Sus scrofa: one gene and its partners. Each later gene encodes a partner of the first gene's protein in a complex. Links are inferred from orthologs where the notes say so. Each region holds a gene or a part of one and is shown in the gene's direction. Other genes may lie near its edges.

Region 1 (4,252 bases):
ACGCCATAAACACTACATGAACCGTTAAGTATTATCAAGAAAGCCCAGGATCGGCTAGAATGTATTTGCCCAGTTGTCGTGTACATATGTTTTGGAAGGAGTCTGCAATTGAAGGGCTTTGAGCGTCCAGGGCTCCTCTGAATCAAGGTACGTCACACTGGCACCTGCCAATATTCACCTACGCCTTGGCTCCATTTTTGGCCCTCGGCCTCCTTATTCCGTCCCCAAAAGGCTGGCTTGACTGGCCCTACTTGACATCTTAAACACTCTGGAACAGCTGGCCAGACCCGCTGCGGTCCCCCCTCCTTATTAGCGTTGGGGGGAGGTAGGATGCTCCGAAAAGGCGAGGGGAGGAGAGAGGGTTGGGTTTTCTCCCCCCCCAATTCCCCTCCACGGACTCGGCAGCCATTCTCACGAAAACAGGTGGCGCAGATAGAAAGAACACAAAACACAGAGGACAGGGCGTGCAAGAACGTTCACGAACACTCGCGAACGAACACCCGAAAACAGATCACGCACTTGACAGGTCCAGGGGCAACAGGCGCGCGGGGACACACGAGGACGCATCCCCCAGCGGACGATGCTGCAGCTGGGGTCACGACTGCAGGAGGCACGGCCACGCGCGCGTGGGGCGCGCACCCCCCCGGAGAGGGGCAGTGACACAAAAGGGGGGGGCCACCCACACTCCCGGGGGCGCCCACGCTGTCGACGAGAAAAACCTGCGCAGACACAAAGCGGCCGAGAGGGGACCCACGGGCGCGTGCCCACGCGCTCGGGCCGGTGCACGCCCCCGCACAGAGCGGACCGAGGGTGTGCAAGCGGCCGGGAGTGCGCACACAAAGGGGCTACTCCCACCCCCGCACACCCCCAGAGGTGACCACATTTGCAGAAAAGGGACACGAGACAAAGGGGACACACCCGCTAGGACCTACAAAGGCTGCCACACACACACCCCCAACGCACCGGCACTCAACCCACGCACACTGCGGGCACCAGAGCCAACGACGCGAGGCGACGCGCACACACCCACACTCACCACACACCCACGGAGGGGGTGTGGAGGGCCCCTCTCCCCGGGCATCTCCGCTGCAGCGCGACAAGGTGACACATCCGGGAGCCCTGCCGCGCGCCAGGTGTGCACTCACCGGGGCCGGCAGCCCGCGAGCCTCGGACGCCGGCCGCCGCCGCCGCCGCCTCGGGCCCTCCACGTCAGCCAGCTGGCGGCGGGGAGCGGGCGGCTGTGCAGGCGGCAGACGCGTCACGTGGGCTGCAACGCACATGCGCCGTCGCACCGCCCGGCCCCCACCTCCGCGGCGACGAGCCGAGCGATCCCGCCGGCCCCCGCGCCCGCGCGCTTCTGCCCAACGAGGGTCGCGGTGCGCCTGCGCGCGGGCGGGGGTTGCCGTGGTGACTCGGCCTTTCTCGGGTTTTCTGTGCTCTCGCACCCTGAGGCTCCCTGGTCAGCGCCTGCGCAACGGACTCAGTGCGGAGGTGGCGGAACTGCTGGGAGTGGCTGCGTGGGCCCAAGGTCTAGGGCCACCCGCGCCTCTCATCCCCAGGTTGAAATGAGAACCATAACCCCGCGAGAGGGCAGGGCACGTTCCTGGGCACCCGAAGCCCCGGCCTGGAGAGGCGGGGCACGCCTCCTATCCTGCCCTGCCTTTCCCTTCCCTTTTCGCACCAAGGCGAAGCCTGCAGAGCTGGAGCGGAATCAGTCCCTCCCCTGCTCCCCCGCTTCCCCGATCCTCCACTGCAGGCTATGCGCGCTCTGATGCGTGTGCTTGTGTGCGCGTGCACGTGCGGTTTGGGGGCTGGTTGCGCGTGCAGGCGAGGTATGGGTGCTCGTGTACACCACTGTGCGGGCAGTCTTGTGTTGGAGGTGTGTGTGCGCAGGGTGGTTGTTTGCAGTGGTTTAGGCTGGGAAGTAAACTGCAGAGGCTGCGCCCGTAGCAAAGCGATGAGGTTATAATAGACCAATGGTGAAGAGGAGTGAATCACTGACAGATGATTGTGTTTTTTTCCCCACAGATTTCCAAAAGCCACAGGGAAAATGGTGGAAAATTCACCGTCGCCATTGCCAGAAAGAGCGATTTATGGCTTTGTTCTTTTCTTAAGCTCCCAATTTGGCTTCAGTAAGTACTTTCCTGATGGATGGCCAGGTCCATTCTCTGGAGTTCAAGGACAAGGAAATGATTGCGTTTGTTTATAGAATATGCACACGTGAACTGTGACTCTTTCTACCTTTGTCTCTTCTTGAGAAAACCTGAAGGGAGCTCTTGTTTGTTCAGAGTGTTCTATATGCCAGACATTAGCGTAAAATATTTAATCTCAAATATTTATGTAGCACCAGACAGGATTGCCAGGTGAATGAAACCTGGTCCCTGCCCTTCAGGAGGTGACGGTTTTGTAGACAAGACATGAGTAAATCTGCAGTTAACACTGTGTTAAGTGCTGTGGGGACCCAGCAGAGAGACGAGACATTAAACTAGAAAATCAGAGTTAGTTTTCTCCCAGGGAATTTGTCTTCAGCATTAAGAAGGAAGAAGTGGGAAGGCCTTGAGCAAAGGCATGGTGGGGCTTGGAAGTAAGTAATGGTTTGGCCCTTGTGGGAGCTAGAGAGCGACAGGAATCAGGTTAAAGAAGGCAGCTGTGCTTTACATTCCCAGATCTCAGGAGTTCCTGATGTGGCGCAGCGGAAAGGAATCTGACTAGTATCCATGAAGATTTGGGTTAGATCCCTGACCTTGCTCAGTGGGTCAGGAATCCGGTGTTGCCATGAGCTGTGGTGGAGGTCGAAGACAAAGCTCTGATTCAACCCCTAGCCTGGGAACTTCCATATACCACGGATGCAGCCCTAAAAAGCAAAATAAAATAAACATTCCCGTATCTCAGTCCGTCCCCATAAGGATCCAAGCCTCGTCTGTGACGACAGCTCACCGCTTTTGACTGGATCCTGACCCACTGAGCGAGGCCAGGGATCAAACCCGAATCTTCATGGATACTAGTCGGATTCGATTCCAGTGCAGCACAACGGGAACTCCAACAGTGTTCTTCAGGTTTATTTTGGTTAGCAAAAAGAGATACTAATGTAGTCTTTCACAAACTCGAAATGGCTTAAAGCAAACTTGTGAAAAACAGGAGATACTTGTGCTTATTAAATGTTAGCTGCTGCTGCTGTTATCAGCGTCATCGTTTTTATAAATCCATGTTCTAAGAGTGTTTGAAAGATTAGAAGCTGTAAAATAGGTGACTTTAAGACCTAAATCCAATAGTACCCACAACCAGCAATTAATTCAGCAAATTTTTCTTGCATACTTACCATGTGCCAGGCACTGTTCCAGTCAAGGGAGGAGCAAAACAGCCCAAAATTTTCTGCTTTCATAGACTTTTCATTCTGCTGAGGGAAGAAAGCCAGTGGACAGATTAAATAAGTAAAACATGGAGTTCCCAACATGGCTCATCAGAAGCGAATCTGACTAGCATCCATAAGGATGCAGGCTCAATCCCTGGCCCCGTTCAGTGCATTAAGGATCTGGCATTGCCAGGAGCTGTGGTGTGGGCCGAAAATGCGGCGTGGGGCCCGCGGCTCACACCACAGCTACAGCTCCAGTTCCACCCCTAGCCTGGGAACCTCCATATGCTGTGGGTGCAGCCCTCAAAAGACAAAAAAAGACCAAAAAACATGCAGAATGTCAGATGGTGATGGAATAAAGAAGGATAAGGCGTGGGAGGAAATAAGGCGTTGCTGTTGTAAATACAGCAGTCAGGAAATGCCTCGGTCAGATGACTTTTAAGCACAAACATGAAAAGTGAGAGTCAGTCATGTGGAGAAAGAGCCTCCCAGACAGAGACTAGCCAGTGGTTTCAGGGAACAGGTAGAGGTCGGTGAGGTTGAAACCTGCAGCAGTGAGGCAGAAAGTAATAGGACAGAGGAGGTCAGAGGCCAGTACCCAGCAGCTGTGATGAAACTAGGTGGTGGGTATGGGGGCGGCGATGTTACATGACTATCTCAGTGCATTGTCAGAGTTCCCGTCATGGCTCAGTGGGTCGAGAACCTGACCAGTATGAGGATGGAGGTGAGATCCCTGGCCTCACTCGGTGGGTTAAGGATCCGGCATCGCCATGAGCTGCAGTGTAGGTCACAGACATGGCCCACGTTGCTGGGGCTGTGGTGTAGGCCGGCAGCTGCAGCCCCTTTTTGACACCTTATGCTGCAGGTGTGGCCATTAAAAAAAAAAGCTGATTGTCTAAT
Region 2 (2,705 bases), on another chromosome or scaffold:
CCTCCTCCGCCATCCCCCGCAGGGCCGAGGCTGGGTGAGGGGTGGCGGCGGGCGGGGTACACCCTCGGGGACACCCTCCCCTTCCCCACCCCCTCCCCAGCCCTGTCCCCGACCCAGCGGGCGGGCGTTGCCCTTTTCAGCGCCTGGGACCCTCCAGCCCCCTGCGGCGGCCGTGAGATGCCGGGGCTGGGGTCCCTGCTGCGGTGAGGGAGCCTCCCAGGGCGTCTGGTTTGTGAAGCAAAACCTATCATGGTCTCCATGGAAGACGTAAGGTCGGGCCATAAGAATTTTCTTCGCAGACCTGCTGGATGATCTTGGTATTTCTGACTCTTAGTTTTGCAGTAGTGGAAAGGAGATCATTATCTCCGATCCTTCCTAGAGTTTCGCGTTAAATAAGTAGAATGATAACTCTTTTTAAGGCTGCTAAACTCGGTCAAGGGATTAAGAATCTCCAGTCCTTGGCTTTAGTTAAATAAACCTTAGAGCTTGTACCTTTATTATTATGAGGTTTTTGTTTTTAGACCGGTAACTTTTTTCAGTAATAGATGCCTCTGAGAACCCAGTAAAAGCTTTGGATCCTAGCCTTAGAAATCTGCATAAATTACAACTACAAATATGCATTGACTGGGAGGGTTGTTGAAGGGTCTGAAGCCCATCCATAGACCTCAGGGATATGTGAACCCCTGAGTTAAGAACTAGTTTAGAGGGAGACATGTGAAGCCTTTGGGAAAGAAGTTTCCTTTGAATCTGGCTCCACTAATTACCACTGTTAACTTGGGCTAAAGTTACCTAAGCACTTTGAATTGCTGCTTTATTAGTTGGGTTAATCTCCAGGATTGTGGAGATTAAATGAAAGAAGCTACGTAAGGCTCTTAGTACATAGTATGCACTCTTGACAAATGGTAGCTGCTAAGGGATTATAATGTAAAATCTGAAATGAAATTTTAATGTCCTCAGTTACATGATGGCCACCATATATATTTTGTTCAGACTTCTAATAAGCTTATGATAACCCAATAAGTTGGTTTGATTTTAACTCAGTCCTACCCTTGACCTTTCACAACATTCATAGATTCACAGTCTCTCTTTTTCTAGGAACTTGGCTATATTGTCCTGCCTCAGAGAACAAACTCATCTACTAAAGGTCTAGCCTGGGTTCTGCCTTTGAAAGCAAGGGAAGGTTGGTACCATATCAACCACATTCAACATGAAATTTCCAGAGAGGTCTTATTTCAAAACTTTATAAAGAACAAGAACCACATGGACTTCTACAACGGAGATTGAACTAGCCTGAGTTTGAGCAAAAGGATAATGTGTTCACAGCCTGTAACTAACACCAAAGAGGCCAAGTGGCAGAAGGTCTTGTATGAGCGACAGCCCTTTCCTGATAACTATGTGGACCGAAGGTTCCTGGAAGAGCTCCGGAAAAACATCTATGCCCGGAAATACCAGTATTGGGCTGTAGTATTTGAGTCCAGTGTGGTGATCCAGCAGCTATGCAGTGTCTGTGTTTTTGTGGTTATCTGGTGGTATATGGATGAGGGTCTTCTGGCACCCCACTGGCTTTTCGGGACTGGCCTGGCCTCTTCATTGATTGGCTATGTTTTGTTTGATCTCATTGATGGAGGTGAAGGACGGAAGAAGAGTGGGCGGACCCGGTGGGCTGACTTGAAGAGTGCCCTAGTTTTCATTACTTTCACATACGGCTTTTCACCGGTGCTGAAGACCCTGACAGAGTCTGTCAGCACTGACACCATCTATGCCATGTCAGTCTTCATGCTATTGGGCCACCTCATCTTCTTTGACTATGGTGCCAATGCTGCCATTGTATCCAGCACACTGTCCTTGAACATGGCCATCTTTGCTTCTGTCTGCCTTGCCTCACGCCTGCCCCGGTCCCTACATGCCTTCATCATGGTGACATTTGCCATCCAGATTTTTGCCCTGTGGCCCATGTTACAGAAAAAACTGAAGGCATGTACTCCCTGCAGTTATGTGGGAGTCACACTGCTTTTTGCATTTTCAGCCTTGGGAGGCCTCCTGTCCATTAGTGTTGTGGGAGCCATACTCTTTGCCCTTCTGCTGGTTTCCATCTCATGTCTCTGTCCTTTCTACCTCATTCGCTTGCAGCTGTTTAAAGAGAACATTCATGGGCCTTGGGATGAGGCTGAAATCAAAGAAGACTTGTCCAGGTTCCTCAGCTGAGTTTGGTGACTTCCATTCTGTTACTAAGACAAACTGATAGACTAGCCCTCCAACTAGTATAAGATTCGAAGGCAGAATTCCATTCTGGAAGCAGCATGCTGATGTGGGTGGGAGATCAGAAATCAAAAGAAAAAGTTAACCAAAGGCTTGGGTGGTGAAGGTGCTTATCCTTTCTGTTATTTTGTGGCGGGAAAAGCTTTGTGGGGCCCTCTTCAATTATTGCCTCTCATTCAATGTAACAAATGAAGTGATGTGGTTTCTATCTATTAAAAAAATTAACAACACATCCATCAAGTTGTCTCACAATTTTTCTGTAAGCAGAAGACAGACAAAAGGGACACAAAGAATATGTGTGTGGATTTCCTGTCGTGGCTCAGTGGAAACGAATCTGACTAATATCCATGAGGACGCAGATTCGACCCCTGGCCTTGCTCAGTGGGTTAAGAATCTGGCGTTGCCATGAGCTGTGGTATAGGTCACAGATGAGGCTCGGATCTGGC
Region 3 (4,173 bases), on another chromosome or scaffold:
TGAGCTCTATCTAGCTTGGGAACTTTCATGTGCTGCAGGTGCGGCCCTAAAAGGACAAAAAAAGGGGGTGGATTTTGATGACTAACCAAGAATCTTCTAGTATACTGGGCTGCAAAGAATAGAGAAAATAAAAATGACAACATATGCCATTAACTGAGCATTCATTTGCCACAGGCATTTTTCTAAATACTCTTTGCATTCATTAGCACATTTTAAGCCCCAGGATGGAATTATATGAGGTAGGAACAATAATTAATCTAATTACACAGATAAGAAAGCTGGGGAGGGAGTTCCCGTCGTGGTGCAGTGGTTAACGAATCCGACTAGGAACCATGAGGTTGCGGGTTTGGTCCCTGCCCTTGCTCAGTGGGTCAAGGTTCCGGCGTTGCCGTGAGCTGTGGTGTAGGTTGCAGACGCGGCTCGGATCCCGCGTGGCTGTGGCTCTGGCGTAGGCCGGCGGCTACAGCTCCGATTCGACCTCTAGCCCGGGAACCTCCATATGCCGCGGGAGCGGCCCAAGAAATGGCAAAAAGACAAAAAAAAAAAAAAAAAAAAAAAAAAGAAAAAGAAAAGAAAGCTGGGGAGTTAGGAGATTTGCGGGAGCCCTACAACTAGTAAACGATGCACCTGGGACCAAGGTGTCAGGCCCGGACCCCCGGCACTTACCTCCTACACTATAAGAAAGAGATCAAATCCGCATCATTTTCTGGGAGAGTCAGAAGCAAATGCGGGGCGAGAAAAAAACCACTGTGTGGATCACCCACTTAATTAAAGGACACAGTTACTTAGACTCCTTGCGGTTTCCAAGCTCATTTACAGAAGCAAATGAGTGGTGCTATTATTATGCCATTGAGCCCAGGGTAAGAAACTGGGCATCTTAAGTTTAAGAGGACTAAGCCATTCTTTTCCCGTTCTTATATTTTTTTTAATGAAAGGAGAAAAAAAAAAAGCCAAACAAGGTTATAGGAAGTGTGGTACTGCAAAGACTGACAGATACACATAAAACAAGTAATGCTTTTTAACATACCCAGTGTGACAGTGTGTTGGAAACCTCCTTTTGGTGATAACCACGGAGGTCCAAGTCTATCACTGTGTGACTCTGAGGTCCGGCCACTGGCTTCCTGGAGGCCCTGCGACAGGCCCTGGTGAAAACTCAGGACGCCTCCACTTGAGCGTGGGTTTTGTCTGCAACCTGCAAACGGGCAGGAAGAGCCGCAGAAAGCCCAGGCTGCAGGCGGGGCTCTCCATACCGAGCGGTGCCGCGGGAAAAGCAGTCGGGTCCCGAGCGCCCTCGGAACCAAAGAGCGGGCCTCCAGCCGTCGGGGGCAGCGTTTCCCGAGCACCGGGGGGCGGGGCCTGGCCGCCTGGGCGGGACTCCCCGGGATCGGCTGGAGCGGCCGGAGCGGCCCAGGGGGTGCGGAGGTCCGCGCGCCGGCGGCCAGACCATGCTGAGCGGAGCGCGCGGTCGGCTCGCCTTAGCGCTGCGAGGGACACGCGCGCCGCCGTCCGCGGTCGCCAGGAGGTGCCTGCACGCTTCGGGCTCGCGGCCGTCCGCGGACGAGAACAAGAAGGAGGGGAAACCGCCACGCGCCTTCGACCCGGCGCTGCTGGAGTTCTTGGTGTGCCCGCTGTCCAAGAAGCCGCTCAGGTAAGATTCGTCCGCTGCGGCTTTTCCCTGGTGGCCCCCTGTCGCCGGGGAGACGTTCAGGTCACCCGGGTGTTCTTCGCTGCCATGTTTTGGACCCGGGCCCGCCAGCTTCCCGGGTACTCGCTCCGCCGCGGGAAGGGCGGGAGGAGGCCCCAGCCGAGCCCCAGGCCTCCCGGACCAAACCGGCCACTCGCAGGCCTGGATCCTGGCGGGCAGCTTCTCCGCCGGCAGCGTTTTAGAATCTCGGGGGAATCCTTCTTAAAACGCAGATCTCTAGGCAACGCCCCACCCGGGCTCAATCCGAAGGCCTTGGGGCCGAGCCAGAGCAACTGCGTATTTTCTTGAAAGGATCCCAAGTGATCTTCCTGTACAGCCAGGGTTATGAACTCGGGATTCGGAAGACTAATCCATGGCATTCAGATTTTTAAGGCAAGGCGATGAAAAATGTGATAGCTTCCAGATTGTTGCGAAAACGCCGGGTAGGATCTTAAGCGCATCAGCTACGTGTGCGGCCCTTTGGTTTTTAGTTCTCGACCAGCCGGTTCTGTAAAGGCCTTCTTAACCTTTCACCTAGACTCTTTAGGATAAACATCTCTGCAGTTGCAGGCTGCTAAACCTGAACGTGGACAATACTAGCAAACACCGCAGTGTCATCAGTGGCTGCCTTTGGGTGGTAGATTGCTGCTTCCGTGGTTTCCTTCTCATGGATCAGTGAGGCAGGTGTTCTGATAAGCGAAGAAGCTGAATTTTCCTCTCGTGTCTGTTCCAGTAGTAAATTAGCTGGGATCGTTTGAGGGTTTAAAAGAGTCATGAAGGAATATTTGGATGAAAAGGAGAGATCTTTTCTTTTTTTTTTTCCACTAAGGCATAGCTTAAGAATAACGTGAAAAAGAAAATGAGAGAAACAGACTAAAATGGGAACAATTAGAGATTCCTTTTCTAAGAGAAATGGTTGAATTGGCTACTGCTGCTTTTAGAATGAAAAACAGTCTAATTCTGCTTTTCTGGCTCTAACTGTGTGAAGAATTGGATAAATGTTACTGTTTATTGAACCTCAGACTCTTCCGGGATTCATTTTGGTTTTCTTCTGCCCCTCAGATATGAACCATCGACAAATGAATTGATTAATGAAGAGCTGGGAATAGCCTATCCGATTATTGACGGGATTCCTAATATGATACCACAGGCAGCTAGGATGACACATCAAAATAAGAAGCAAGAAGAAATGAAGCAGCACTAGGTCATACGTAAACACAACACAAGGAAATTTTCTAAACACCATCCACCTTCGAAGAAGCCAGCGTGGCGGGTGGTGGGTGGGAGAGAAGAATGTTTCTGTCTCTTCCCACGCTGACTGTCCTTGTCCCCCTGGTCTCTCTGGGAGGACTGCTGTACTCCGCCTCCGTGGAAGAGAGCTTCCCCCAGGGCTGCACCAGCACAGCCAGCCTGTGCTTCTACAGTCTGCTCCTGCCCATCACCATCCCCGTTTACGTGTTCTTCCACCTCTGGACTTGGATGGGTATTAAACTCTTCCGGCATAATTAACGCAGCCGGAGCCACGATGGTATTTAAACTCATGATATGCTTGAGTGAGTGTGTCCGAAAGCTCCGCCACATGGAAATACTGGAAACCCAGACTTTGCAGGAAAGAGGCTTTGCTTATTAGCCTTTGTCAGAGGTTTAGGACTATGTGACGTTTAAGCTGCAAGAGGCTTCTTTCTTGTATTTTGGTTCTTCCCCTGCTTTTTGAAGGTTCTGATTTATACCTGGTCTCTCGGAAGAAACATTTCAACAAAGTGGCTTGTTGGAAATTAGCACCCCCACAGCCATCATCTGATGGCTTGTTCTTATCCCATTCATAATTAAAAATTACTAATTCGAAATTGTAGGTTTGTTTTTAGGTTCAAAGCCTTTGGTAAAGCCACATGTGAAGGATGACTGAGATAATTCCAAGGAGCTATGGGGAGTAATTGTAGAGAAATGCATTTGGACTAGTGTGATATAAAACTATAATAAAATGTAAATTTCATGTACTTGCCAAAATTCTGAGTTGGTAAAATTGCCTTCATTTCTTTGGCATCAGATGGCTTACATTATTAATAAGATATTGACATTTTCCATAAAACAATTTGCAGTTTTGTGTTTGGTTTTTTTTTTTTTTTCCTTTTGGTCACAAGAATATAATTCAAAGACAAGGAAATTATATGTTTAGAGAGGCACCCAAAATAGAACAGAATTTCCCAGGAAAGTATGTGCTGTGAGGAGAGGTGGAATTGAAAGACTGGCAAATAGCTGATTGTGTCCTGTTGAGTTTAGTTAGGGCGATTATTGAGCCACATTTCAGTTTATTTTTCTGCCATAAGAGACCTATTTATTTAGCAATACTAAGGGCATGAGCATTTGACACATTAATAGTTATTGATTTTCCAGAATTTTCAATAAGACTGATTAGTACAATAACTGTTTCAGAAGTATAACAAATGTTTCAGTATTTACCCTCATGAAGCCTAAGAACTCAATGTAAC
Region 4 (4,282 bases), on another chromosome or scaffold:
CAGCTGGGAAGGGCAAGAAGAGCCCCACTCTCTATTGGGGTTTTTATCCCTTAAAGATGGGGGGGGGGTAACCAACGTGAGGTCCAGAAAGCTGTGGTTTTCTCCCATTGGCCTTGCCCAGTTCAGTCCTTGTCCAATAGGGTCTTAGGGGTGGAAATGTCCCGTAAGTCCCATGGTGTCTTTGCCCTTCTCTTCCCGTAGCCTGAGTCAGGGGGCTTTGAGATTAATGTCCGTCTGGGCGTAGGTACACTCCCTGGAGGAAACAAGGCATGTGGGGATGTTACTCCCTGGAGCCCTTTAGCCGCAAATGTTAATCAATAGACATATCCAAGAATGCATCGAAGCCCAAGCTCCTAACACTGACTACCTGAGTGACTATTCTGCCTCAGTGCCCCCCCCCCCTGCCCCCAGAGTTGGAGACTTTAACTTTGGAGGCGGGGGGACAATGACCGACTGCTCTGACTGCTTCCTGCTGACAAGGGGTGTCCTTAGGGAAAGTGGTTAGGTCTCCACTCATGGCACGGTCGGTTGAGTGGGCTTCAATACATTACCTTGGGTACCCTTTCTTTCACTATCTGTAGGTTGATAGCTTTTAATCAGGACATAACAAAGCAAGACCTACAATTAATTATCTAGGGTCCAAATAAAAGGCTCAAGATCACAATGATGACTATGGTGAACAAATATTTCCATCAGGAGGAGGAGGAGGTCAACCCGTTCCAGAGGGCAGCTCTAAAAGCTGGATGGAGCTGGATCAGACATCTCACGAATCTGCTGCCGGAGATCTCGCAGGGAATCAGACACGTTCTGCGAATAATCAGGAATATAGGCACAACATTCAGATTTTATGACAGCACGGGTACCTCCTTGGCCTGCACTGAGTATGTCTAAGGCCATTCGGTTTTGCAGCACTACTTTTCTTATTTGTTTTTGTTCCATATTTAGGGTAGGAATAGCTTCTGCAGTATCATTAAGAGATTGTGGAGTAAAATTAGTTAAGGCTTCCACCCTCAGCATTATCCGGTGAACGTTTGTCTGCACCCTACCCTCAACAGAAGAGTTGGGGCCACCACACCAGGAAGTAGCGCCCTCGGGTTCTGGAGTCGGCTGCACCCTCTACTCGGATTGTGATCTTCAAGTGCTTGCCTCTTTCTGAGCCTCATTTTCCCCGTCTCAAATATGGGACTTTCGACCCCCCACCCCATCCCGCTCTGGCCTTGGGACTCGGATATTGAGATGGGGTTTTTTTCTGGGTCGAGTTCGACCCGACTGAGACCATAAATGCAGCCTATCTGGGTTCCCCACTGGGTCCCATTTCCCAGGGTGATTCGGAAACACGGCCCACAATACTCTTGAAAACTACATTTCCCGAAATGCAAAGGGGAGGCGGTGCCTGCCTGTCTTGGGCGACGTAGTCCTGGGACTGCCTAAAGACTACGACTCCCGACGGGCCCCGCGGCCCAAGGCCAGGAGGGCCCGGATGCGGAACCGGATGTGGCTTACGGCTCCGGTGCCTGGAGCGCTGGGGAAATGGTGAGCTTGGGGCTGGGAGTCCTGGGAATGAGGGCGTCTGGGTGTGGGGTCCTAGGTCTACTCAGAAGCTGAGGCTTGAGCTCTCGGGAGCCGGGATCACTCTCCCGCCGGCCCATCGTACGGGTGGTAGGTCTTTAGCCTGCACTCTGTCTCAAGCCAGGAAATGGAAACCTCGTCAGCCACGTCGGATACGCCTGCTGAGTGAATGGGCGTAATCAGGCGGCAACTCCCCCCTCCGTTAGTGCACCTAAATGGAGGGTCACTTCCTCAGTTGAGCTTTCCCTTTTCTCCAGGCCACAGGGACAGACCAGGTGGTGGGACTCGGCCTCGTCGCCGTTAGCCTGATCATCTTCACGTACTACACCACCTGGGTGATTCTGTTGGTATGTGTGCTTCCTCGTCCGCTCTCACCTCCTATCCCTAGATCTTGAAGCCAACTCCTAACATTTAAGCACGTGACAGGCCTACCTGCCCATGTAATGAAAGCGTCAGAGCAGCAGTAGGAGGACGACACTAGCGGTGTCCCCATTGTATAGATGACGAAGCCGAGGCTCAAGGAGAAGGTTCAGACCTAAGGTAGAATCCTGAACCACTACACTGTAAGGTCCTGTGCCTTTAATGGGAGTTCTAGTCCTTCTGGTTATCCTGCGGGCTCCTGGGCATGACAAGTGCCAATGGGTTTTGTGAGGGTCTTTGGGATATCCCCCCCCCCCCCGGTGGAAAAATGTGTTAAAATGTGCAGTGTGTTTGGGAATCAAAATCTTTTTTTTTTTTTTTTTTTTTTTGCCTTTCTAGGGCCGCTCCCGTGGCATGTGGAGGTTCCCAGGCTAGGGATCGAATCGGAGCTGTAGCTGCCGGCCTACACCAGAGCCATAGCAACGTGGGATCCAAGCGGCATCTGCAACCTATACCACAGCTCATGGCAACGCCGGATCCTTAACCCACTGAGCAAGGCCAAGGATGGAACCCACAACCTCATGGTTCCTCGTCGGATTCGTTAACCACTGAGCCACGACAGGAACTCTGGGAAGCAAAATCTTGCAGAACTTGATGTTCTTTGGGAGAAAAATCTTAGTAAAGAAAACTTTTGTGGAGTTCCCGTCATGGCGCAGTGGAAACGAATCCAACTAGGAACCATGAGGTTGCGGGTTCAGTCCCTGGCCTTGCTCAGTGGGTTAAGGATCCGGCATTGCCATGAGCAGTGGTGTAGGTTGCAGATGCGGCTCAAATCCCGCATTTCTGTGGCTGTAATGTAGGCTGGCAGCTGTAGCTGCGATTCCACCACTAGCCTGGGGACCTCCATATGCCGAGGGTGCAGCCCTAAAAAGCAAAACAAAAACAAAAACAAAAGATCTTGGAGCCCAGATTGGGATTCCTCATGTACCCTTTGCCCCTGCTAAGCTGTGGGGGACTTAAGCCAGGTCCCCAGCAGCAGCTTAGAGCAGGCACCAGGGAAGTACCTAGTATACCACTTGTAGAAAAATGAAGGAAGGGAACCAACCAAAGCACCCAAGATGCCATCATCTTAAAGAAAAGCAAATGCAGCCCCAGCGCTTTGACGGGGTCAGCCCCTGAGACAGAGGAGGTGGGATGTTTGGGCTTGGGGCGCTCAGCAGAGCCAGGCATGCTCACCGGAGCTCTGCCCTTGTGCCAGCCATTCATTGACAGTCAGCATGTCATCCACAAGTATTTCCTGCCCCGGGCCTATGCTGTTGCTATCCCGCTGGCCGCCGGCCTCCTGCTGCTCCTCTTTGTGGGTAAGTTCTCCCAACCCTGGGCGGGGTGTCTGAGGGACCCCATGACCCTCTCCTACACCTGAACATGCGGCTGTACTTTGGCCCCTGCGGTACACCTGCTGGAGGCTCCTTGCCCTCAGTTCACCCCCTGGGGTTTCCGTGTTCATCCCTCAGGGCTGCAGGCTTCTCGATCCTCAGGCTCACTGGACTCTAATGGGGTGTCTCCTTGTTTCCTGCTCCTTCCACCACCATCACCCCTCACCCCCTTGTCACTTTGGCCTCTGATTCCTGCACCCCTCTGACTCCCAGGGTTTAGTGTGTGGGCTTCCTAAGGCCAAAGACTGTATCTTCATCATTACTGTGTCCTCAGTGCCCAGCACATGCTGTGGCACTGAGTTGGTGCTCAAAAAAGTCATTTGAGTGAGTCAGCAATCAGGTGTCTGGATGATGGGGTAGGTGGATGGTAGGTGCTGAGTGGGCAGCTGGGGAGGTAGGTGGCCAGATGGTTGACTAGCTGAGTCGATGGATGGTTGGGTGGATCTTATTCCCTGTAAAATCGGAAACACAAATCCAGCAGGTGGCCTGTGGTCAGCCCTCGGCTGATGTTTGTTGAATGAATATAGGTGGGGGTGTGGCTTAGCGAGCCACTTGGGAGATGACCGGGGGAACCTGGAGGGTGGCTGGGTCGGTGCCTGGCCCCGCCTGCGGGTCCCTCTGTCATGCTCTGTCCTGCTCCGGCCTCCCAGCAGCCCTGAGCCAGGACCTTAACTGGCCTTTCTGGCCCGTGTGTTCCAGGAGTGTTCATCACCTCCGTGATGCTGAAGAGCCAGAAGGTGACCAAAAAGGCTCAGTGAGGGCCTGGCCGATATAAGGCTGCGGCCCTTTCCGTTTCTTCGCCAGGGCAGACCCAGGCGGGGGGCCCACAGGACCCATCCAGGCCCTGAGGCCCCCCTCAAGCCCAGCTGCCCTGAAGGCCCCCCCCGGCCCAAGGGGGACGGAGCTGTTCAGGACTC
Region 5 (3,978 bases), on another chromosome or scaffold:
GTGGGGTAGTGGGGGTGTGGGTGGCGGTGCAGCAGCCAGGCAAACAAGTTGAATCATCTCTTGATGAATGCTTTACTAGCATATGGCCAAAGTACTATCAAAATATAAAAGAGGGAGGATTTAATTCTCTCTGGAGGTTTGGGGAAGGCATCACAAAGGAGCTGGAATTTTCAGGGATGAATAGGCTTTCTACAGGCTTAAAATGGGTGCTGGAAGCTGTGGTTGATGGTGCTCAGAAAGGCATTTGCTTGACCGGGGAACTCCGTGTACCAACTGTGAGGGGGTGGATAACCACCAGACCACTCCCATTTATTCATTACCCTCTTGGCCAAGCACCATGATAGCCAGTAGAACCAGTTTGAACAGGAGTTGATACTTCAGGCCAGACCTCAGATTTTTTCTCCAGAGTGGAGAGTTGCCAGAAAAAATACAGGATGCCCAGTTAAATTTGAATTTCAGATAAACGACGAATAATTTTTTAGTAAAGTCCCCGATACTAGGGACATAACATAAAAAATTATTTATCTGATATTCAAATTATTTAAAAAATTGACCTGACATTTGTGTATCTTTATTACCTCAGGCAATTCTACCAGAGGGGTAAGAACCTGGGGAATCGGCTGTGGCACAGATAATAACAAAACGCCACCACGACTCCGACTTTCTGTAGCCTTCTCAGCCAAAAGTCTGAATTGGAAGCCACAGAGAACAGGTTTCCAAAATGAGACGCTGTAACTAGGCAACCAAGGCACCAAACCCACCCGTCCGCAAGATCCGCGTTTAGAAGTGCGGTGCATCCTGGGAATGAGTTTTCTAAGTTCGGATTCGCCTCCGGAGGCGACGGGACTACAACTCCCAGGAGCGCGGAAGGGTCCTGTGAAGCACGCTGGGAGTGCCGGTTTTACTCCGTCGAAGGGTCCTGGTGGGCTGGCTCCTTGTTTAGCAAGAGGCCAAGGCCAATTTTGAGAAAATCTCAACATTAAGAATTCATATAAAAGGTTAAACAGAGGATTACTGCTTTCCATCGAAAGAAAACTAGTCTTCCGGAACATCGTGGCGATATGTGCACGCGCGCGCTGACGTTGCAACCCGCGCTGACGGGTGGGGAACTGAGCGTCTCTCCTGCACGTGACCCCAGCGCCTCTTCGTGATTGGTCCTCTCGGGGGCGCGGCGCTCGGGCGCGGACGCCCCGGATTGGTGCTTCGGGGCAGCGGGGTGGGACTCCGGCTGCAGCCGCGGGAGGTCCGGACACTGGCGGCCATGGGACTAGCCGGTAAGTGCGCGTTTGACCTCCCCGGGCTAGCCACTGTCTGCCTCTTTTAGCTGGGACTGAACTGCCCCCAGGAGAGCGTGGCCCACGATGGAGTGGGCGAAGCCGACCCGGTGTAAGGCTCGGAAGTGGGGACCGAGGGTCTTCGGAGTCGAGTGGGGATGAGGGTGCGCTTCGGCGGCCGCGCTGTAGCCGGTTCTGCGACGGTTAACGCGGGCAGAGCGAACGGCTCCGGGACCGCCGGCCTCAACCTTTTGCCCACTCTCTGGCCCTTTTCCTCTTGGGGCCTGGCGAGACCCCGCCTGACTCTGACGGGATCGCTGACTGAGTCGTTTCGTCCCTTCTTTGGCCCTGGCGCTGCCCAGCAACCGCTCAGTGAGTGAAGCCGGGACGGTTCCCTGGGGGTGGGTGAGAGCCCCTTCGCCTAGATTCCGAGGCTCCACCAGGTTTAAGGCTCCTCAGGACTCTCTGCTCCTCAGGACTGTTCAGGGACTCGGTGGCCGTGGCCGTATTTATGACCATCTCGCATTTGCCGCTTAAGTGGCCGGGTGGGGACCTCGGACAAATCGCTCAACTTGTGTGACTTCTCATTTGTAAAATAAGAGCTATCCAGTAGCTCTTTAAGCCTCTCTTCAGCTTTAAAACCTTAAGGTTCTGTGACTGTGACGTTTGTTGGGCTTTTACGCCGTGATGTTAGGCTGATTTCCTCACAAGATATTGCGGATTAATGACAGAACTTTAAATGATTTCATTTGGTTCTTTATTAACTGCTTTCATTATCGCTCATCTTTTAAAATTAAATGGAACTGGAAATTCGGGATTAGGTGACAAACCACAGAGGACGACTTAAAAGTGCAGACTTGAAGAGTGTCATGATTTGGTAGTAGTGAATCTCAATTAGTATTCAGGTCAACAAACACATAATGGAGTGTTTCTAAGACTATTTTTAAAGTAAAGATGACTGTTAATTTGCTTTTTTTGAGTTTGTGGTGAAATCGGAAACTCAGGTTCTAAGGATGGCTTCCCATTGAATAGTTGAGTTTCTGGAAGCATGGAAATCTCAACGTGTAAAGCTGAGGAAGAGTTTCACTCACTTTCCAAGCCTCTCTTTAGCTTTAAACAGCTAAGCATTGATAATCATACTGAATATTGAGCGTCCATTTTGTGCTGATGATCTTGGGAACCCCTGAGCTGAACATCTACTTTAGATGGAGAAAATGGCCCCAGGTCCCTCCCTTTGCATCTCTAGATCAGATTCCAGACGGAAGGGAGGGACGCTCCTGGAGGCAAAACCAAAATAACAAAGGTTAAGAAAATGGAGGGAGCGGCTTGATGTCATCATTCTTGAATAAGGAAGGAGAATGTGGAGGTCTGCGGCGGCGCTGCAGGTGACACTTTAAAAAGCTGCTCTCTGGAGTTCCCGTCACGGCTCAGTGGAAACGAATCTGCCTAGCATCCATGAGGACACAGGTTTGATCCCTGACCTTGCTCAGTGGGTTAAGGATCCAGTGTTGCTGTGAGCTGTGGTGTAGGTCGTAAAGGCAGCTCGGATCCCACGTGGCTGTGGATGTGGCCAGCAGCTGCAGCTCCGATTCGCCCCCAAGCCTGGGAACATCCATGTGTCGTGTGTGCGGCCCTAAAAAGACAAAAAAAAAAAAAAAAAAAAAGCTGCTCTAAAAGACCGTTCTAGGCGTTCATGCTGTGGCACAGTGGATTAAGAATCCAACTTCTGTGGCTTGGGTGGCTATGCAGGTGCGGGTTCCATCCAGGCCCGGCCTAGTGGGTTAAAGGATTCCGCATAGGTCCAGCCACGGCTCATATTCAGTCCCTGACCAGAGAACTTCTATATACCATGGGTGCAGCCATTAAAAAAAAAAAAAGAACAAGAAAGTTCTAACTCCAGGTATATCTTAGTATAAGCCACAGAATTTATACTAGCAGAACTTGAGATTCATTGAGTCGGTGGCTAAGCTCTAGAATGAGCTTCACAAACTTTTCCTGTAAAGAGCTATGTATTTAATTATTAGAATGTACTGGTTTGTTAGCATGGCAAATTATTATATAATGTGGTGTAACAAACATTATTTAAAATCCTGTAGCAGTGTTTTTAGAGCAAAATTAAGATGTAAGGGGAGTTCCTGTCATGGCACAGCGGAAACGAATCCAGCTAGGAACCATGAGGTTGTGGGTTTGATCCCTGGCCTCTCTAAGTGGGTTAAGGACCCCGCCTTGCCATGAGCTGAGCTGTGATGGAGGTCGCAGACGCGGCTGGGATCTGGCATTGCCATGGTTCTGGTATAGACCCTCGGCTACAGCTCCAATTCGACCCCTAGCCTGGGAACCTCCATGTGCCGTGGGTGCGGCCCTATGAAGACAAGAGACAAAAAAAAAAAAAAAAAGATACCAGGACATTGCAGAAGCTAGTTTTGTTATATGGCCCATAGTAAATGCTAAGCAAGCAAAGGTTGTTGAATTCATAAATTCATTATATGCTTTGTATTTCCAGGGGGAAAACAGGTTTATAGTAACGTGAAAACCATATTTATATCTGCATTTGGAGTATGGACTGTATTTTGTCTCTGAGCTGAGATCCCGTTTATTCTCTCTTTCAGGTATTAGAGGACACATATCTTAACTGGGTCCCTCCAAGGACTAATGCCTAAACCATCTCAGCATGGCCTGTAGTGGAGGAGGTGGGCCAAGCCAG
Region 6 (3,929 bases), on another chromosome or scaffold:
CAGACAGAAGCCGGCGGGGAGGGTGTGGCTGGGCTGGGCTCATCAGGGCAGTCTGGGAAGGGGCGCGGCCCCTCACAGTCCCCCATTTTCAGAGGCGCCCCAGGTTCTGAGCCTCCTGCAGCTTCTCTGGCCTCAGCCGAGGTAAGGGGGGGCAGAAGAGGGGCTGCCCTGGAGGCGCCCTGGGCTGTCACGTGGCTGAGCTGTGAACCTCCAGGCTCCTGGGCGTCTTCTCCCACAGGAGGCTGTCTGAGCCGTCGTTTCCTCCTCCGCAAACGAGGCTGCAAGGGCATGGGGACAGTTCTTGTGAGGACAGACTCCTGCTGCTGAAAAACAGCAGGAACAGGAGGCCCGGAGGGGCGGGCAGGTGCGGGGTTACTCTGAGTCTGGGGCCCAGCCTTGCTCCCAGTTCCAGTGAGGGGGTCTTCAGGGGGAGGGGACAGTGCCTAGTCCTGCCCGGGCGGCTGGTGAGGGATGCTTCTGCCTCTCACAAGGACTGTGGTTTAGGGGTCTGTGGTTTGGGCCATTGCCTGACAAGGTCCCGCCTATATGTTCCGGCTCTGCGGAGGTGGCGGTGGGTTAGCGGGTCAGTGTGGAAAGTTCTGTTGCCGGTTCTCAGTAAACATTAGTTGCTGCTGCTGGTGTTGGGGGTATTTTTCCCTGGAGCAGGAGGGGCCATCAGATCGGATGGCTTCAGCCTCTGGGCTGGCCCTCCAAGCTCACGTGGCCCCTGCAGGAACCAGGATGCTGGGAGAGGGGAGCCGGGAGATCCCACCCAGGACTTGGGGTCCTTTCACCTGGATGGTGGGGGGCAAGGAGAGGGCGGGGATCCTCATTTGTCAGGTCTAATGGGTCCCCAGACGAGGAAACTCGGGATGGGAGAGAGGTTTGGTGGCTGCGGCAAGGTGGATGACTGGAAGGCAGGGGTGTTGGGGACACTGTGGGTAGGCTGGAGGTGGGACAAGGGCTTTGTGCACAGAGCGTGAGGAGGACCAAGGTGCGCGGCGTGGGTCGGGCAGACGGGGACGCTATGGCAACAAGGGAGTCATTCTGGCCACACTGGCTCGAGGGTCCGGAACGTTGCATGCGGGGAACGCTTGTGCGTGAGGCCGGCGGGCAGCCCGGGCACATTTGGGGACGGACCGTAGCGCGGCAACGCCGGGAGCGGGCGGAAATGGGGCTCCTGTCCCGCGGCACGGCCGCGGCGGGGCTGGGGGCCGTGAGCGCCGTCGTCCGCCCGGGCCCACCCGTCGTTGTCCCCAACCCCATCCCGACCCTGCCGCCCGAGGGGGCGGCCCCGGGGAGCAGCCGGTGAGCACTCAGGGGGCGGGCCAGCGTCCTGCGGCGCGACCTTGGGGAGCTGCCCCCGCCGGCCTGTGGTCCCGACTCCCGCCGCGCCGCCCGACAGACCCGGGAGCCCGAGGGTCTCCGGAGCCGCGCTGGCCTCCTGCTTCTCGGAGCTTCTGTTTCCTCATTTGTAAAATAGGGACGCTGCCGGCCAGGGCGGGCTTGAGACTTGGGAGGGCGGTGAGGCCCCGCCGGGTCCTCCTGGGGCCCGTCCGCCAAGCCCCGCGTTTGCGGCGGGGCGGCGTGGGTGCCCTGGCGAGGAATCTGGTCCCGGCCCTGTGGGGTGAAGGGAGGCCAGCCGGGTCCCTCTGGCCCAACCTGGTTCCCGCTGTGGACTCTTTGGAAGGGCATTCAGGGTCATTGGAACCGGCTGTCAGCACTTTACAGCTGTCCCTGACTGCAGTAAAGGGCAAAACCCAGAGCCCTAGATTCGTGTCTCTTCTTCTGAAATGAGAGAAGAAAAGCACTGTTTACTGAACGCTTGTTGTGTTCTAAACACAAACACATAGAGTAAGAACGGATCTTGTGAGCTCTTGAGGAGCGCGAGTCTCCACAGGGGAGGGCTAGAGACGTCCCTGGCTGGTTGTAACTGGGCTTTTGCCCTGGATCCACTCGCGCAGAGGTGGGAGGCCTTCAGCCTCATGAGGTAGGCTACTGAGTTGAGCTTGCCAGGCGCCGGGCATGCCCGCATTGGCCTTCCCCAACGGATCTGGAACGGGCCGGGTCCCAGAGGACAGACCGTCATTCTTAACAGAGGCAGCTTTCCCAGGCTTGTGCACAGTCTTTAAAGATGTTCGAGGCGCGGGGTTGCTGCCTGCTCCCTCCCGTCTGCACCTCTGCTATCGATTGCCTGCTCTTTCATCTTTTCCTGGCGGTCTGATCTGAGAGCCTTCTTTGTGCTGGTCCCGCCCAGAGGCTGAGGCGGGGTGGGGATGGAAGCTTGCCCCATGATTTAAGAGAAGAGCGCTCTCTCTGCCCCACGGACGGGAACACCACCCTTTGCTCTCTGCTCTTCCCTAGACAAGAGGAGCTTTTTTTGGGAAAAGTTTGTAGATGAAGCATAAAACACACAAAGAAAGTGCACCTACAGGTACAGCTCAATGAATTTTCTGAAAGTGAACTCAGTGTGTAGCCCACTTCCCCCAGAGCCCCTGCTCGCTCTTTTGCCCGTGGCCTGCAGCAGCTTGATGTGATCTCAGTTCCCAGGCCGGGAACAGAACCCAGGCCGCAGCAGTGAAAGCTCCAGGTCTTCACCGCTAGACCCCAGGGAACTCCCTCCCACCAGTTGTGTTCAGTTTCTGACATCGGCTACGGGCAGTTTTCCTTAGGTCCTGTGAAAGGAGTCCCAGGCAGGGTGTGATGCTGTCATTTGGCTGAGCTGGTGTGTCCGATGGGCTGGTGCTGAGAGGCTTGGACCAGGCTGGCTGGTCCCCCAGGTGGTCACCCAACCAGATGTGCCAGGACCCTAAGGCAGAACGGCTCTGTCCTCACAGTGCCCCTCAGAAGGGTCAGGAAGGCCAGCTGGTCCTTGCTGATGGCCACAGAGACTTTCTCCTGGAGACACTCGCGTGGCTGGCCCTCTCTGGTCTCTGGGCAGAGGGGCATTTGGAAGCCTGGCTGCTGGTTGACTCAGGGGACCCTTTCCATTCAGAACCCACAGGTGGGAGAGGCCTCCCCCTTCAGCTGTGCCCTGACTACCTGGCGGGAGGAAAGCAGCTGCACCTGTTGCCCCTCCCAGACTGCTCTAACCCTCAGGAAAGGCATGTCCTCAACATGTGTGTCCTACTCTGTCCCCTGTTCCCCAAGGCTAGTTGGAGGTCCTGTAAGGCTGGGAAGGCTGGCGTCCCCTCTGCTGTTCCCCTGGTGGGAGAACTTCTAGACCCCTCCTTGGTCAGGGGAGTGGGTCCTAGAGGAGGGCGGGGCTCCAGGGAGGGGGGGCAGAGCTGAGTGCTGGAGGCTCCAGTGGTCTGGTGGTCGTAGAGAAAACCCTAGGCAGCTGGCCTGTGCCCTGGGCGCTGAGGCTCCCCGGGGGAGGGTGCGGGCTCCCTGGGGCATCAGGCCTGCCCCCAGGCATCTTCTGGGCCCGCCTGTGCCAGAGCCAGCTGCCAGTGCCGGTGCCCTGCCTCATTTCCTTCAGCTCAGCAGCCATTTAATTTTTCGTCTTTGTTCTCGCTAACTTAGAAAATCAAGGTTTGTTAGATTTTTAATTTACATTAGTTGTTCATGAGATCGTACGTTTTTCTATGTGTATGCAAAGAACTGTCATCAGGTCCTTAAAAACAAAAATTGCACCCTTGTGCCCAGCTCTGTGCAGTGCCCCCCCCCAGCTTGCTCGGCTCTGAAGGGGGACGTGTGCCCCTGCCTCAGGGTGGGGTGGGAGCAGCCTGGGCCGAAGACGGACAGCCGGGCCTCCCCACCAGCCTTGTGACCAGACCCAAAGCTGGGTCACCCCGACCTGTGGGCCCAGCGGCCAGTGGATGTGTCTGTCAGGGCCGACTGGGCCACATGTGGGCCAGGGCCCACAGGTCGGGCGCTGCCAGCCAGCCCGTGGTGCTTGCGGCACAGTGGCGGCGGCGGCGGCAGCT
Region 7 (3,500 bases), on another chromosome or scaffold:
CAAAAAGACAAAAAAAAAAACAAAACAAAAAAAAACAAAGTTCCCTTCTGAGGCAAATAAAGGCTTTCAGAAATGTTATAAATGTATACAAATTTTAGAGATAAAAATAAACCTAAAGCAACTTCTGCCTATAATTCATCATTCAGGATTTCCCACTGTGGCACAGCAGAAACGAATCCGACTAGTATCCATGAGGATGAGGGTCCAATCCTCAGCTTCGCTCAATGGGTTAAGGATCCAGCATTGCCTTGAGCTGTGTAGGTCAGACAGGGCCCCAATCCTGCGTTGCTGTGGCTGTGGTGTAGGCCAGTACTGTAGCTCTGATTCAACCCCTGGCCTGGGAACCACCATATGCCGCCAGTGCGGCCCTAAAAAGCCAAAAAAAAAAAAAAAAAAAAAATCGTCATTCAGCCACTTTGTCTCTGTCAGTCAGGCAGTATGTGATTTTACAGAGATGCTACTGATCTACACCTACTGTTCTACACTGTTTGGTGTGTTCCTTTTCAAATCTGCGTATTCTCATGCAGCCACAGAGGCCATTATACTGATTATTTTAAATAATTGTATCATATCAAATATCAGTTTATTTAGTCACTCTTTTGTTCACTTTTGAAATCATGTCCAGGTTTTTTCTTACAAAAAAAAAAAAAACACTTATACAAACATGATTATAATATTTTATAGATATATAAAATATTTATGTATGCAGTAAACTGTCTCTCCACCTTTCTTTTTTCACAAAGGATTTAAGGCAGCTAAGCTAAAAGCCTTTTGCATTATAGTTCAAAATTATTTTACTAAAGCTTATGAAGTTTCAAAGATTTTTGACAGTGTTTGAGAGTTGGCTCCAGAGACTGGACACCTTTACCGTATTTTGGGAATTTGTACTTGCTTTTCTATAGTCTTGACTAACAGTGGGTTTAGCTATTTTTTAGTTTAGTGTGTAGGTAAAGGAATTTAGAGTTATTAAATTTGTATCCTTTTTTTTTTTTTTTTTAAGGGCCGCAGGTGAGGTATATCCAAGTTCCAGGCTAGGGGTCAAATCGGAGCCGCAGCTGCCAGCCTACACCACAGCCACAGCAACGCCAGATGCAAGCTCACCACAATGTTGGATCCTTAACCCACTGAGTGGGGCCAGGGATCAAACCCACATCTTCTTGGATGCTAGTTGGGTTCTTTTCTGCTGAGCCACAATAGGAACTCCTGTATTTCTAACTCTGTCAGTGCAAAGAGACTTTTCATATTTCCTTGTATTATCTATATTTTCTTGTTTTAAACTGTCCATCTCCTCTATTAGTCAAGTAGAATCTAGATACTGATTATGTGTTGTAACGATTCACATGTTTGGGGTAGCAAACTTTTATTAAATTTGCTTTCCATGTATTTTTTTCCCATTCTGTGGTTTTTAATTTGTATTACATTTTATTATGTAAAATAATTTTTGATATTTACTTTTCTCTTTTTTTTTTTTTTGGTCGCACTCGTGGCATGTGAAATTTCCTGGGCCAGGGATTGAACCTGTGCCACAGCAGTGATAGCACTGGATCCTTAACCCACTGCACCACAAGGGAACTCCTCAATAGTTACATATTAAACTGCCCTTCTTGACTCTGAGAACTGTTTCGCTTCCTGTGAGGGTCATCCTTGTTATTCCTCTTGCTTGCTCTTAGATGGAGATCATGAAATTTAGACAGATTTAAAACTGTTGGAGTTCCCTTCGGGGTGCAGCAGCAACAAATCCGACTAGGAACCATGAGGTCAAGGGTTTGATGCCTGGCCTCGCTCAGTGGGTTAAGGATCCGGCATTGCCATGAGCTGTGGTCTAGGTCGCAAATGTGGCTCGGATCCCCCATTGCTGAGGCTGTGGTGTAGACCAGCAGCTGTAGCTCCAGTTCGACCCGTAGCCTGGGAACCTCCATATGCCATGGGTGCGGCCCTAAAAAAATAGTTTAAAAAGTAAATAAAACTGTTGAGCTCCTGCTCTGCAGTTCACAGGCTGGGCTGTGGGCCTACAAAGGGACTCCTCCCAGCGAGGTGCTGTGAGGCCTGAACTTCTGCCTCTGAGGCCACACCCGTGCCGTTTGGACCCCCTTGTCGTGGGTGAGAGACTGCAGATGCAGCAGCCCTGAGCACTCTGACGTTCATCCTGACTCTGCACTTCTCCCCCTTGGAATTCAGAGTGCCAAGCCCCGGCTGGACTGCTTGATTGAAGTATACAGGAGCTGCCAGGAGATCTTGGCACACCAGAAATCCACGTCAACCAGCCCGTGAGTCCCAGCATTCGTGATCAGTATTATCTCCCAGGGGAGGTGACTCCTCAGCCACAGCGACTGGTTTATTTTCCGGATTCTAAACCATCAAGTGGATGCAGGCCCAGTAACCAGTCTGGATGCGGCGGATCCCAGAGCCATAGAGCAGCTGACTGGAAATCTAACTTATTTTCCGTGCGATGCAGCGGAAAATATTTATGTATGTTTTAGGGTTTCCCCTGTCAGGTTTTGTGTACTTTACCAACTGAGGGGAGACCTCGAAACCATACGTCAGAAGTAACACTGACAAAGAGCACTTTGTGAAATTCCTGAGCACATTCAAGTTTACTTTTTGTTGCAATTTGTGGAGCAAGAAAATGGGAAATCGATTATCAGATCTCTTGAGAAAGGTAATTTCCAATTGCACTGTACCCCTGTATAAAAGTTGAGAGGGAGGGAAAAAAAAGCCCTTCAGGTACTGGTTGGTAGGAGGAAATGTCCTACAAAAGATGAGCCTCTGCCCATCTAGCGCCCATACAGGGTTAGCTTATGATGATTCTCTTAATAAGCAGATCTCTTTCCAAAACATACAAGGAATTGCTTGGTTCAGGCAGCTGCTTTTTATTGACAGACTTGATCATGGCATTTCAGTCATGGGGGTTAAGCACATTAATACTCTCGTTACTCAGCATTGTCTATGGTTTCAAAAACTTCTTTTGCCAAGAGGGATGAGACAAAAAGCCAGACAGAAATTTGACTCTGGTTTCCAGATATGTTAAAGGCCAGACTACAGAAGCCTCTGTTTACATGGCAGTTTCTTCTGTGTAAAATTAACGAATTAGGGCAGGATTCCTGAAGGGCTGGGAAGAAGATGGGGCGGGGGAATAGCTGGATCCCCAAATTCAGTATGAACACAGCTCCAGTCTTGCTTACTTTTTCTTTGGGATTTTTTTAAAAATTCCTGGGTAGGTGATAATATTCTTATTTACTTTAGAGCCACTCAAGATCTTACAAAACTAGAGCTGTAATTTCTGCCTTTTATACCAGCCCTGGAAGGGTTATTCAGGAGCCTGCGGGGACATGGGACATGTCACCTGTTGAGGTAGAAATGTCTCAGCTAAATCCCAAATCCTGGGGGAAGGGCAGGAACAGAAATGGGAGACAGCTATAAAATTGCCAGCCTGGCAAAGTCAAGTTTGTTTAAAAGAGGCCGACACTCTGATGTGCTGCTTTTTTCGTCATGCCTGTTGA

Evidence for each region.
Region 2: PIGP (region 1) and PIGC share a complex: the UniProt entries of both Homo sapiens proteins name them as parts of the glycosylphosphatidylinositol-N-acetylglucosaminyltransferase (GPI-GnT) complex. The link is inferred for Sus scrofa from reciprocal best matches to the Homo sapiens genes PIGP and PIGC.
Region 3: PIGP (region 1) and PIGY share a complex: the UniProt entries of both Homo sapiens proteins name them as parts of the glycosylphosphatidylinositol-N-acetylglucosaminyltransferase (GPI-GnT) complex. The link is inferred for Sus scrofa from reciprocal best matches to the Homo sapiens genes PIGP and PIGY.
Region 4: PIGP (region 1) and DPM2 share a complex: the UniProt entries of both Homo sapiens proteins name them as parts of the glycosylphosphatidylinositol-N-acetylglucosaminyltransferase (GPI-GnT) complex. The link is inferred for Sus scrofa from reciprocal best matches to the Homo sapiens genes PIGP and DPM2.
Region 5: PIGP (region 1) and PIGA share a complex: the UniProt entries of both Homo sapiens proteins name them as parts of the glycosylphosphatidylinositol-N-acetylglucosaminyltransferase (GPI-GnT) complex. The link is inferred for Sus scrofa from reciprocal best matches to the Homo sapiens genes PIGP and PIGA.
Region 6: PIGP (region 1) and PIGQ share a complex: the UniProt entries of both Homo sapiens proteins name them as parts of the glycosylphosphatidylinositol-N-acetylglucosaminyltransferase (GPI-GnT) complex. The link is inferred for Sus scrofa from reciprocal best matches to the Homo sapiens genes PIGP and PIGQ.
Region 7: PIGP (region 1) and PIGH share a complex: the UniProt entries of both Homo sapiens proteins name them as parts of the glycosylphosphatidylinositol-N-acetylglucosaminyltransferase (GPI-GnT) complex. The link is inferred for Sus scrofa from reciprocal best matches to the Homo sapiens genes PIGP and PIGH.

The regions. Positions count from the first base shown.
Region 1 is NC_010455.5:200,692,631-200,696,882, reverse strand, and holds the start of PIGP (phosphatidylinositol N-acetylglucosaminyltransferase subunit P), read left to right. Parts: upstream 1-1,452; 5' UTR 1,453-1,559; intron 1,560-1,572; exon of another isoform or gene 1,573-1,832; intron 1,833-1,834; exon of another isoform or gene 1,835-1,879; intron 1,880-2,028; 5' UTR 2,029-2,050; coding exon 2,051-2,132; intron 2,133-4,252. UniProt on the Homo sapiens protein: Part of the glycosylphosphatidylinositol-N-acetylglucosaminyltransferase (GPI-GnT) complex that catalyzes the transfer of N-acetylglucosamine from UDP-N-acetylglucosamine to phosphatidylinositol and participates in the first step of GPI biosynthesis.
Region 2 is NC_010451.4:114,824,585-114,827,289, reverse strand, and holds PIGC (phosphatidylinositol N-acetylglucosaminyltransferase subunit C), read left to right. Parts: upstream 1-1,311; coding exon 1,312-2,205; downstream 2,206-2,705. UniProt on the Homo sapiens protein: Part of the glycosylphosphatidylinositol-N-acetylglucosaminyltransferase (GPI-GnT) complex that catalyzes the transfer of N-acetylglucosamine from UDP-N-acetylglucosamine to phosphatidylinositol and participates in the first step of GPI biosynthesis.
Region 3 is NC_010450.4:130,526,198-130,530,370, forward strand, and holds PIGY (phosphatidylinositol N-acetylglucosaminyltransferase subunit Y), read left to right. Parts: upstream 1-1,373; 5' UTR 1,374-1,445; coding exon of another isoform or gene 1,446-1,648; intron 1,649-2,746; coding exon of another isoform or gene 2,747-2,888; 5' UTR 2,889-2,977; coding exon 2,978-3,193; 3' UTR 3,194-3,786; downstream 3,787-4,173. UniProt on the Homo sapiens protein: Part of the glycosylphosphatidylinositol-N-acetylglucosaminyltransferase (GPI-GnT) complex that catalyzes the transfer of N-acetylglucosamine from UDP-N-acetylglucosamine to phosphatidylinositol and participates in the first step of GPI biosynthesis.
Region 4 is NC_010443.5:268,420,758-268,425,039, reverse strand, and holds the start of DPM2 (dolichol phosphate-mannose biosynthesis regulatory protein), read left to right. Parts: upstream 1-1,482; 5' UTR 1,483-1,530; coding exon 1,531-1,533; intron 1,534-1,826; coding exon 1,827-1,916; intron 1,917-3,187; coding exon 3,188-3,290; intron 3,291-4,064; coding exon 4,065-4,123; 3' UTR 4,124-4,282. UniProt on the Homo sapiens protein: Regulates the biosynthesis of dolichol phosphate-mannose. Regulatory subunit of the dolichol-phosphate mannose (DPM) synthase complex; essential for the ER localization and stable expression of DPM1.
Region 5 is NC_010461.5:11,883,689-11,887,666, reverse strand, and holds the start of PIGA (phosphatidylinositol N-acetylglucosaminyltransferase subunit A), read left to right. Parts: upstream 1-1,178; 5' UTR 1,179-1,261; coding exon of another isoform or gene 1,262-1,274; intron 1,275-1,280; exon of another isoform or gene 1,281-1,386; intron 1,387-1,392; exon of another isoform or gene 1,393-1,646; intron 1,647-1,652; exon of another isoform or gene 1,653-2,741; intron 2,742-3,883; 5' UTR 3,884-3,945; coding exon 3,946-3,978. UniProt on the Homo sapiens protein: Catalytic subunit of the glycosylphosphatidylinositol-N-acetylglucosaminyltransferase (GPI-GnT) complex that catalyzes the transfer of N-acetylglucosamine from UDP-N-acetylglucosamine to phosphatidylinositol and participates in the first step of GPI biosynthesis.
Region 6 is NC_010445.4:41,173,566-41,177,494, reverse strand, and holds the start of PIGQ (phosphatidylinositol N-acetylglucosaminyltransferase subunit Q), read left to right. Parts: upstream 1-1,129; 5' UTR 1,130-1,171; coding exon 1,172-1,308; intron 1,309-3,929. UniProt on the Homo sapiens protein: Part of the glycosylphosphatidylinositol-N-acetylglucosaminyltransferase (GPI-GnT) complex that catalyzes the transfer of N-acetylglucosamine from UDP-N-acetylglucosamine to phosphatidylinositol and participates in the first step of GPI biosynthesis.
Region 7 is NC_010449.5:91,306,349-91,309,848, reverse strand, and holds part of PIGH (phosphatidylinositol N-acetylglucosaminyltransferase subunit H), read left to right. Parts: intron 1-1,000; coding exon of another isoform or gene 1,001-1,012; exon of another isoform or gene 1,013-1,053; intron 1,054-1,988; coding exon 1,989-2,129; 3' UTR 2,130-2,178; coding exon of another isoform or gene 2,179-2,271; 3' UTR 2,272-3,500. UniProt on the Homo sapiens protein: Part of the glycosylphosphatidylinositol-N-acetylglucosaminyltransferase (GPI-GnT) complex that catalyzes the transfer of N-acetylglucosamine from UDP-N-acetylglucosamine to phosphatidylinositol and participates in the first step of GPI biosynthesis.